3 linked regions of the Sus scrofa genome follow. The protein of the gene in region 2 purifies or fractionates together with the protein of the main gene of each other region. This does not show direct contact. Links are inferred from orthologs where the notes say so. Each region holds a gene or a part of one and is shown on either strand. Other genes may lie near its edges. The genes, in order: APEX2, CUL9 and GLMN.

Region 1 (2,853 bases), on a different chromosome or scaffold from region 2:
CTCTTTCCCCACTCATTTGGTCAGTGAGTCCTGTTGATTCTAGCTGTAAATTATCTCTTAATTTCATTTTGTTTCCTCTGGCAGCACCCTAGTCTGAGTGACCAAGTGACCATCATCTCTTACTTAAGTGCGTGGACTATGGTAGTCATCTTCTGCTAGTATTCTGGCCGACAGTCTGGTTGCCCTTCAAGTCTTTTGGGTAGGCTGCCCCCTCCCTCCATAGGCCCATCATAGAAGTTATTCTCTCATTTTATAACACCCTCTGCCTGGGTAATTCCTGCTCCACCTTCACTTCTCAGCTCAAGATCATTTCCTTAAAGGAAGCCTCGTTGGTCCCCAGTGCAAGCTCAGAGTCCCACTTTGTTCCTAGTATTGTGCCTGGTGCGTAATCAGTGTCTCTTTGAATGTGTTGCATTGAATGAGTGGGTGAGTGAATTGGATGTGTGAATTGGATGGATGATGCCTTAGGGATCAGAGCCAAAGGAAGTATTCAGACATGAATCCTTGGAGCCCCTCAGCTCAGGATGGGGAAGGTTGGTCAGTGAGGTCTTTGACACATACAAGATAAACCAAAGTAGTACCAGAGTGTTTAAATAAAAAGGCAACAGTCTTCTGAACTCCTAACTGCAGCCATATTTCCTAGCAGTAACCAATTTTAACTTACTTTCCATTCTCTTGGTGAGCAGTTCTGAGAATTGCCTTGATTAAGCAAATAATGACCTTTCAAATTTGGGATTTATGGCCCAGTGCAAGGTAGATAGAGCCTGATGCAGAGGGAAAAACAACAATGGGCTTTTAAATCAGTAAGGATGGAAAGTGAATCCTAGCTCAGCCAGTTCCAGACTGTGTGACTTTGAGCAGTCTTCTTTGGAGTAACCACATTTTCTTGTCTGTAAAATGAAGCAGTTAGTTTAAGTCCCCTCCAGTTCTAGGCATTTAGTTCTTCTTTCTTTGTTCCCCTCCCCCTTCCCAGGAATGCTTTGAAGAGGACCCAGGGCGCAAGTGGATGGATGGCTTGCTCAGTAACCTGAGGTGCCAGGCTGGTTCCCATATGGGACCTTTCATTGATAGCTACCGCTACTTCCAGCCAAAGCAGAAAGGGGCCTTCACCTGCTGGTCGACAGTCACTGGTGCCCGCCATCTGAACTATGGCTCCCGGATTGACTATGTGCTGGGGGACAGGGCCCTGGTTATGGATACCTTTCAGTCCTCCTTTGTGCTGCCTGAGGTGATGGGCTCTGACCATTGCCCTGTGGGTGCAGTCTTGAACGTGTCCCCTGTGCCAGCAAAACAGTGTCCACCTTTATGTACCCGCTTCCTCCCCGAGTTTGCAGGCACCCAGCTCAAGATTCTTCGCTTCCTAGTTCGTCTTGAACAAGATCCTGTGTTCAAGCAGTCTGCACTGCAGCTCAGGAATCAAACACAGGTACAGTTGCGCCAAAATAAAGCCCGTGTGCGATCAACCAGGCCTCGGCCAAGTCAGACTGGCTCCAGTAGAGGCCAAAAAAAACTGATGAGCTATTTCCAGCCATCCTCCAGCCGTCCTCAAACCACTTCTAACTTGGATCTTCCTAGCCTTGGCACCCTCGTGACCCCAGAGACCTCAGAAGAGGAAGCGATGGCCAGTGTGGTGGAGGGGCACACCAAGGTTTCAGAGGCCAAGGATAAAAAGGAAGTACGGAGCTTGTTCTGGAAGTCTCTGCTGAGAGGGCCCTTACCCACACCCCTCTGTGGGGGCCACAGGGAGCCGTGTGTAATGCGAACTGTGAAGAAGCCAGGACCCAACCTGGGCCGCCACTTCTACATGTGTGCTAGGCCCCAGGGTCCTCCCACTGACCCTTCCTCCCGCTGCAACTTCTTCCTCTGGAGCAGGCCCAGTTGAACCAAGCCAGGATATCTGGCATGGTCAACCTTGCACATGATCTGAGGCCAGCTTCATCCTAAGCTGCCTCATCATCCCCCAAGGCCTCCTTCCCTTCCTCCTCCTCCTCCTCTTCCTTTTCTTCTTCCACCTTTCTCAAGGACCCATCCCTTCCCTCTTTTTCTTCCTCCAAGGCCTCTCTTCCTCTCTGTTCTTCCTGCCTAGCTCCTCCTCACTAGTGAGCTTCTTGGGCCTTAATGCTATAACCCATATCCCCACCCTACTTCCCATCTTCCTGTCAGAAGTACATAGGAACCAGTTGCCTGGGGAAGTTGTGATTTTTAAACCACTTTCTTACTTGTTGGGAAATGTAGCTGTGCCTAAATAAAGTCCACGTCTTTGTTGCTACTCACCATATCATTTTGAATGTGCTTCATGAAGTTGACTCAGAGATGTTATTTCAGTACTGCTTGTAGCCTGATAATAGAACTCCCAGAGGAGAGTGGAGGAAGGAGGAGTGATGCTCATTGTAAAGGTACTCTGTTAAGTTGTCAGGTTTCCCTGCACTGCTAAGGGTGAATCAGCAAGGGAGGTGGGTGGGTGTGGTAGAAAGCTGAGGCAGCCAATGAAACTTTTAAACAGTGCTTTCTAACTGGTATGTCACACAGATGCCACAGATGGGTTACAGGGTGGAAAGAAATGAGTCCCTCAACCCTAGAGTTGCCGAGCAGTACCAGGAATTACACAAGTGTCAGGAAAAATTGCCTCCAAGGCAACTAATACTATTATTTCACCCAAATGTGCCATGCAAATGTTTTCTGTATGTTATGACCTAGAAAGTTTGGGAGCATTGCCTTGAACAAGTTCTTGCTATAGCCAAGCCTCTTTCTCACCTTGGGAAACAGAACTGATAAATCCTTTTCTATAAGGTGCTGTAGGAAGGAAAGAGGATCATGGATTGAGGAGGACCTCCATTCTCTGCGGGAGAATAC
Region 2 (3,654 bases):
ACACTCTGCCTGTGTCTGCAGATTCCCTCTGCATGTATGGAGTCTGGGAAGGCTGTGTGTGTTAGTATGCATAGCACTGCCTCATTCTTGCTGCTGTCTTGGGCTTGATTCTACCCAAAGCAGAATACAGCACTAGATGTTGTCATTTTTTAACTATCAGATTGGCAACATTTCAAATGATTGTGATCTCCTTGTTTTAATTTCTCAGTTCTAGAGAAGTTAGGCATGTTTGGGGGTTCCCATTGAGGCTCAGTGGTAAACGAACCCGACTAGCATCCATGAGGACGAGGGTTCGATCCCTGGCCTTGATCAGCAGGTTAAGGATCTGGCATTGCCTTGAGCTGTGGTGTAGGTCGCAGACACGGCTCAGAACCTGCATTGCTCTGGCTGTAGGCTGGTGGCTACAGCTCTGATTTGGCCCCTAGCCTGGGAACCTCCATACGCTGAGAGCACGGCCCTAAAAAAAACCAAAAAGACAAAAAAAAAAAAAAAAAAAAAAAAAAAGCTAGGCATGTTTTCATGCCTTTGTTGTGTTTCTTCCTCTGTAAATATTCTTATCCTTTGCCTGGTTTTTAATTGGGTCTTTTGTCTTTTTCTTATTGATTTACAGACATTCTGGATATTAATTTGTTACTTATGTTTCACATATTTTGTCCCCCCCCCCGCCAAATGGTTTTAATTTTCCAGGTGTAAAATAATGCCTGCTCACCTTAAAAAATTAGAAAATCATGACGATGACAGTCATCTGAAAACCTTTTATGTAGTTGTAGTCACTGTTAACATTTTGGTAAACATCCTTATTTATACCTGGACATTTATTCATATGTAGCGTATGAACTTGTTTTAAATAAATCGTGGCTACAGAAGAGGCTATAAGTTTAAACCTATTTGGTTCACATGACTGCAATCTTAAAGCTCATAAGAAAAAACAGAACTTTCTCAGTACCGTTATTTGCCTTCTTTCCCAGAATTTGCCTCCTTTCTTCCCTTGTTCCCAGGCCACCTCCTCAATATGCATCTCTGTCACTGTGGAGAAAGATGTCAATTCTGACACATTTTTCCTCTGTAATGCTCACTGCCACCTAGGGACTCTGGGGGCGCTTCCTGCATCCCTTCAGATCAGCCTCTGCCAGATCCTCTTTCCAGCTCATGTGGCTGTTGTCTTAACTCTGTGATAGTGTCTTTCATTACGCTGAAGTTGTAGATTTTTGTGTTGCTTTATTTTTCATCTTTTTTTTTTTTTTTAATGGCTTCCAGCTTTTGAAAGGGTCTATTCCACTGTAGGATTCTAAAAATATTTCCTTGTATTTTCTAAAAATATCTATGATTTTGTTTTTCGCATTTATTTTAAGACTTGTTTGCATTTTGGTTTTGCAAACAGAATGAAGCGGAGCTCCAGGCTTTCGTTTTTTTCAGATGGATAGCCAAGTGTTTGTGCCTCATGTTTTGCATGGTCCTAACTGTCCTCACTGGCTGAGATGCGGCCCTTTTTTTCCTTCTCATCTGTTGATCTGTTGGGCTACCCTGTATTATTTCCAGAGTTTTAATTAGTATAAGTTTATATATATATTTTTTTGTTTGTTTTTTTAGGGCTGTACCCACGGCATATGGAGGTTCCCGGGCTGGGGTCAAATTGGAGCTTTAGCTCCCAGCCTACACCACAGCCATAGCAACATCAGCTCTGAGCTGAGTCTGCGACCTACATCACAGCTCACGGCGACACCAGTTCCTTAACCCACCGAGCGAGGCCGGGGATCAAACCCGCAACCTCATGGTTACTAGTCAGATTCGTTTCTATTGTGCCACAGCAGGAACTCCTGCAAACATTTCTTGACTCTTCTTCCATATTTTCTCTTCCTATGCCTCAATCTTTTTTTTTTTTTTGCTTTTTAGGGCTGCACTTGCGGCGCATGGAGGTTCCCAGGCTAGGGGTTGAATTAGAGCTGTTGCTGCCAGTCTATACCACAGCCACAGCAACGCAGGATCCGAGCAGCATCTGCGACTTATACCACAGCTCACAGCAGTGCCAGATTCTTAACCTACTGAGCGAGGCCAGGGATTGAACCTGCATCCTCATGGATGCTAGTCAGATTCGTTAACCGCTGAGCCACCACAGAAACTCCCTGTGCCTCAAACTGACTGTTGTTTTTTTTTTCTTCTGGCTCCGCCCATGGCATGCAGGAAGTTCCTGGGCCAGGGTTCGAACCCACGCCACATGAGTGACCCAAGCCACCGCAGTGACAGTGTGGGATCCTAAGCCCACTGAGCGACTGGGGAATTCCATGTTTTCTTTTTAAAAACCTTTTAGGCATTTTGATTAGAATTATGCTGAATTTATAGATTTCTTTGAAAAGTTGCACCAGAGTTCCTAACTGTCCTGCTCTCCTGCCTCCTTTATGAGGGAAGAGCCTGAAACAGACTTCAGGGGAGCGGGCGTTGGGAGGGAGACTGAGGCGAGGAGAGCAGGTTGGAGAGCTGTGGGGGTGGCCTGGATCTTGGGGAACAGGGGTGAGCAGGGAGTCAGGCATGGCTCTGCGGATGGGGGGCCCTGATGTCTCCTCTCTCTCAGAGAGAAGCTAGTGAAGACGCTGGTGGAGCTGCTAACCAACGAGGTGGGAGAGAAGATGGTGGTGGTGCTGGCCCTGCGCCTTCTTTACCTGCTCATGACCAAACACGAGTGGCGCCCACTCTTTGCCAGGGAGGGTGGCATCTATGCTGTGCTCGTTTGCATGCAAGAATACAAGACCTCCGTCTTGGTGCAGCAAGCAGGGCTGGCGGTGAGTGCACTGGGCCTGGTGATAGCATGTGGGGTGCGGGTTGGGGGCAGGTGGGGGCCCTGCCGGTCTGAAGAGGTTCTCTGGTGATTCAGGCGAGGAGGCTTTGGGATGGAAAGTGCAGGCGGATAGGAGAGTTCCAGCTGGATGGTCCTGGAGATTGAACACCTGTCTGGAGGAAGGGAGAAGGGTGTTTTTAGGAATGACTCCCAGGTTTAGAAGTGAGCAGCCAGAGTTCCTGTCGTGGCTCAGTGGAAACAAATCCAACTAGCATCGGATGTGCACATGCTGTGCGTGTGGCCCTAGAAGACAAAAAAAAAAAAAAAAAAGTCAGCAGCAGGGTGGAGGAGGTGGTCATTTGCAAAGTGGGAGAACGCTAGAGAAGAAAGAGGTGTGGGGGGATGTTCAGGTTGAATTTTCAGGTATGTTGAATTTCGCATAGCTTTTTGGTTACAACGAGGGTGTCTGGTTTTGCTTTTTTTTTTAAGTGTTGCACCCTCGGCATATGGAAGTGCCCAGGCTAGGGGTTGAATCGGAGCTGCAGCTGCCAGCCTATACCACAGTCACAGCAAAGTGGGATCCAAGCTGTGACTGTGACCTACACCACAGCTCACGGCAGCGCTGGATCCTTAACCCACTGGGTGAGGCCAGGGATTGAATCCGTATCCTCACGGATGCTAGTCAGATTCGTTACTGCTGAGCCACAGCAGGAACTCCTGGGTGTCTGATTTTCTCGATGCGACAGAGTATTTTGTAATGCTTTGATCTGAGTGGTACTGGTACACAGTACTCCCTCACCAGGCATGGGTAAAGCACAGCCAGCATCACCGTTGCCTTGCCTCCCTGGGCCCAGAGAATGGGGCCAGGAGGCCCTGGTTCA
Region 3 (3,654 bases), on a different chromosome or scaffold from region 2:
CGAATCCGACTAGGAACCACGAGGATGTGGGTTCAATCCCTGGCCTCCTTCAGTGGGTTAAGGATCCAGCGTTGCCATGAGTGTGGGTAAGTCTCGGATGTGGCTCGAATCCTGAGTTGCTGTGGCTGTGGTGTAGGCCAGCAGCTACAGCTCCAAATTGATCCCTAGTCTGGGAACTTCCATATGCTGAGGGTGCGGCCCTAAAAAGACAAAAAAAAAAAAAAAAAAAAAGTAATAAAATAAACTGATAATTGACATCTCAGTTATGCTCTTACCTTTAACGACATGTCAATTTGATTTTTGATATTTTGAATAATAAAGGCTTCCACACCTGAGTGATTACTTGTATTCAATAAGCACCTTTAAAGCAAAATTACAATACATTTGAAATTATCCTGGATGCATTATATTTAAATGATGATGAAAGTTTTACAAATTCAGATGGGCCATGTGTTATTTCAAGGAATACAAAAACCAGTGAAGACCAGTAGCAATTACAAAGTCACCTATTAAGGTTATTGCCCTTACTAACTGGCAAATTCTATTTGAACTGGGTCTTTCCAACAAGAAATTCCTATTAAACCAAATCTGAATCTCTTTATGCATATAGTTGCAATGAGTTGACATGACAAGAATGGTCACTAGTATAACAGCATAAAATTCCCCAAATTAGTCCCTGTTAGACTAGTTTGGTTAGACTAACTTAATTGCAAAGAAAGGTAACTCAATCTGTTAGTTCAAGAGGAGGGAGTTTTTGGTAGGAATGAAAGTAGGACAGACAGGAAAGCTGGCATAAGACCTAAGCATCAGTGGGGCCTTCATAAACCTACTCTGATCCCATCAATTCAAAGTGAAGAAAAGATGGATCAAGCACGCTAGGATCAGCCAATCCCAAAGAACACAGCCCTTGAACTCTGCCCCAGTGGGTCTTAACCCATTTTTAATTACCTACGTAGACACAAACTGAGGTCGGCAGGCCAAACCCGGCCTGCTGCCTGTTTTTTGACTGGAACACACCCCCGACTACAAACACAAAATTGAGCAGTTGCAGCGGAGACTGTGGGCCCCTCCAGACGCTGTTTACTCATGGTCCCCACAGAGACTCTGCCGATCTTTAACTCAAGAGGGTTGCCGCAGGCTTCCTCCTCAAACAGCGCTACCGACAAGCTCTACTGGTAAACTGAGCAGCCTGTCGAAACTTCTAACTCCGGAGCCATTCATTTCAACTGTGAATAATGGAGATTACTGACACCTGTAAATTCTACCAGGAGCCTCATCAATATTGGTTTAATTTTTTAAGACTTTTAGAGAGTTTCAATTAATTGAATTGAAACATATACTCTTATTCATGTAATTTATATATGCATCCATAATTTTTGATTAACCTTTCTCTACCCATCACAGATAAGAGAACTGATTATAATATATGGCTTCTGAGTAAAACATATCAAAATAAAATAACCTAGAATAATTAATGGCATTAATTTGGTTTTTAATCAACCAATTAATCAATACATACCTAAATAACGTATATTTGCCTTGTGAATCCAGCTTGTTAATATACAGCTGAAGCAAAGCTAAACTCTTTTTCCTCTACAATGGAATAAATAATATTGTTACATAAACTAAAGATGAAATTATTTCTTGAAGTTTCTCAGTGTAACCCATTATTATTTAGTCCGCAAACGTCTACATACCAATGTCTCAATGGGGCAGAGTGTCATTACTTTGACTAAGCCCTGGAAATAAAAACAAAATTTTAATTCAAATGTTAGGTTATATCGACTGCCAGGAAACAACTATATTATCCATTGCCAATGAACACTAAAAATTTAGAGAAAAGAGAGTAACAGACCTAAAAACAGAAGTAAATTTATTCCATTGTTATGTCTATAGGAAGCTAAGTACAATCCATTTTGTAAGTGATATTGAGAGGAATGCTACAAAGTGTATTGTCAGAAGTAAACAGTAATTTTCACTTATGTCTAGAATGGCAAAAAAGTGAAATCAAACATGCAGAAATATAATCCATTAATTTAAAATAATCAGACTTAATATATAAGAAAAGCGGAGTTCCCGTCGTGGCGCAGTGGTTAACGAATCCGACTAGGAACCATGAGGTTGCGGGTTCGATCCCTGCCCTTGCTCAGTGGGTTAAGGATCCGGCGTTGCCGTGAGCTGTGGTGTAGGTTGCAGATGCGGCTCGGATCCTGCATTGCTATGGCTCTGGTATAGGCTGGCGGCCGTAGCTCCGATTGGACCTCTAGCCTGGGAACCTCCAAATGTCACGGGAGCGGCCCGAGAAATGGCAAAAAGACCAAAAAAAAAAAAAAATTTATATATATATATATATATAAGAAAAGCTATATTTTTCTGTCTAAATAGTGGAGAAACCATTTTCTACATTGACATCTAAGGACCTACATCTATGATAACAAACAGTATCACTAATAAACAAGCAAAATAAATCACAGGAGGGAAAAACAAAACATCTTTGTAGTAATGAGCTATACACGCCTTGATGGAGTCCTGGGGATTTGAGTTATGGTAAAGGAGCTTCATTTTCCAAGGTTCCTACAGAACCAAAGTGTTTTAATTAAAGAAGAAAGTTGTATTTTTCCCCAGATGCTGTGCTGTCGACTCTCGCAGACAGCAGTCACATACAGCTATTTAAGTTTACATTAAGATAAATCAAATGTAGAATCCAGTTCCTTAGCCACATTACAAGTGTTCAGTGTGGCTCATGGCTTTCAAACTGTAAGGCCCAGATAAGTGAGGTTTTACCATCACAGAAAGTTCTACTGGACAGCTTGGCACCAGAGTTTTCAAAGGACATGGAGCAGAAAGCGGGAGAGCAGTCTGAAAAGCCCTAGGTTCAGAATAGGAAGAGGGCTTCTTTCAAGGTCAGGATACATGTTTCACTTGCCTGAGGTACAGTAAGGAAACTCTTGATTTCTAAGCACTGGTGGAGCAGACTGCTGTCCTCTGTTCTCAATAAACTGTTCTCCAACAGATCCTGCAGATCCAAATAGATGCAGAGATACATATATGGTGAAGTCGATAGCTGTATTTGTTAACATGACTATTTAAATTACAATAGGTGTAAGCAAATCTTACCAGTCCTTTGGACAAAACAGACTCTTCTGTTCTGGAAGAAAATATTGAAATTTATCAACATGGTTTGCTACACTGCTTCAGAATTATTGTTTTAGGAAAAATAAAGCAAAAATTATAATTTAAATACTTTAAAAATGCAGAGCACTAAGGAGAAATTCTGTTGAAAAACTGAATCAAAATTCTTAATCCACCTTTTTCTTTTCTTTGGCTACTGACACTGAAATCTAGGCCAAATTAGCCCACTCAGGGCTTACTTCCTGATATCAGATCAGTAGATCTTCAATAGCAAGTGCTAAGAAATCAATTTTACCTCATACGAAACTACTATTCTAGTTGATTAATCAGTAAAATCTTTCCAGCTTTTATATTTATGTAATTGATGCTTTCCATTTGTGATAATTTTTTTAAAAGGTTTACAATCATTGGTAACTAAATATTTAAGATCTGTGGCAAAAAAAAAAAATTATCTCAGGCTGCAGGTTCTTATTCTAACACCATACGAGAAAGTAAAAGTGTTGTAACTTAGAATAGATTTAC

The links.
Region 1: the proteins of CUL9 (region 2) and APEX2 purify together in Homo sapiens (affinity purification with mass spectrometry; 3 studies listed by BioGRID and IntAct, counting the BioPlex papers as one, with this or other methods). This does not show direct contact. The link is inferred for Sus scrofa from reciprocal best matches to the Homo sapiens genes CUL9 and APEX2.
Region 3: the proteins of CUL9 (region 2) and GLMN purify together in Homo sapiens (affinity purification with mass spectrometry; 3 studies listed by BioGRID and IntAct, counting the BioPlex papers as one, with this or other methods). This does not show direct contact. The link is inferred for Sus scrofa from reciprocal best matches to the Homo sapiens genes CUL9 and GLMN.

What each region holds. Positions count from the first base shown.
Region 1 is NC_010461.5:47,868,302-47,871,154, forward strand, and holds the end of APEX2 (DNA-(apurinic or apyrimidinic site) lyase 2), read left to right. Parts: intron 1-973; coding exon 974-1,882; 3' UTR 1,883-2,278; downstream 2,279-2,853. UniProt on the Homo sapiens protein: Functions as a weak apurinic/apyrimidinic (AP) endodeoxyribonuclease in the DNA base excision repair (BER) pathway of DNA lesions induced by oxidative and alkylating agents.
Region 2 is NC_010449.5:38,232,302-38,235,955, forward strand, and holds part of CUL9 (cullin-9), read left to right. Parts: intron 1-2,569; coding exon 2,570-2,777; intron 2,778-3,654. UniProt on the Homo sapiens protein: Core component of a Cul9-RING ubiquitin-protein ligase complex composed of CUL9 and RBX1. The CUL9-RBX1 complex mediates ubiquitination and subsequent degradation of BIRC5 and is required to maintain microtubule dynamics and genome integrity.
Region 3 is NC_010446.5:124,790,839-124,794,492, reverse strand, and holds part of GLMN (glomulin), read right to left. Parts: intron 3,149-3,654; coding exon 3,118-3,148; intron 3,017-3,117; coding exon 2,927-3,016; intron 1,740-2,926; coding exon 1,698-1,739; intron 1,594-1,697; coding exon 1,520-1,593; intron 361-1,519; coding exon 276-360; intron 1-275.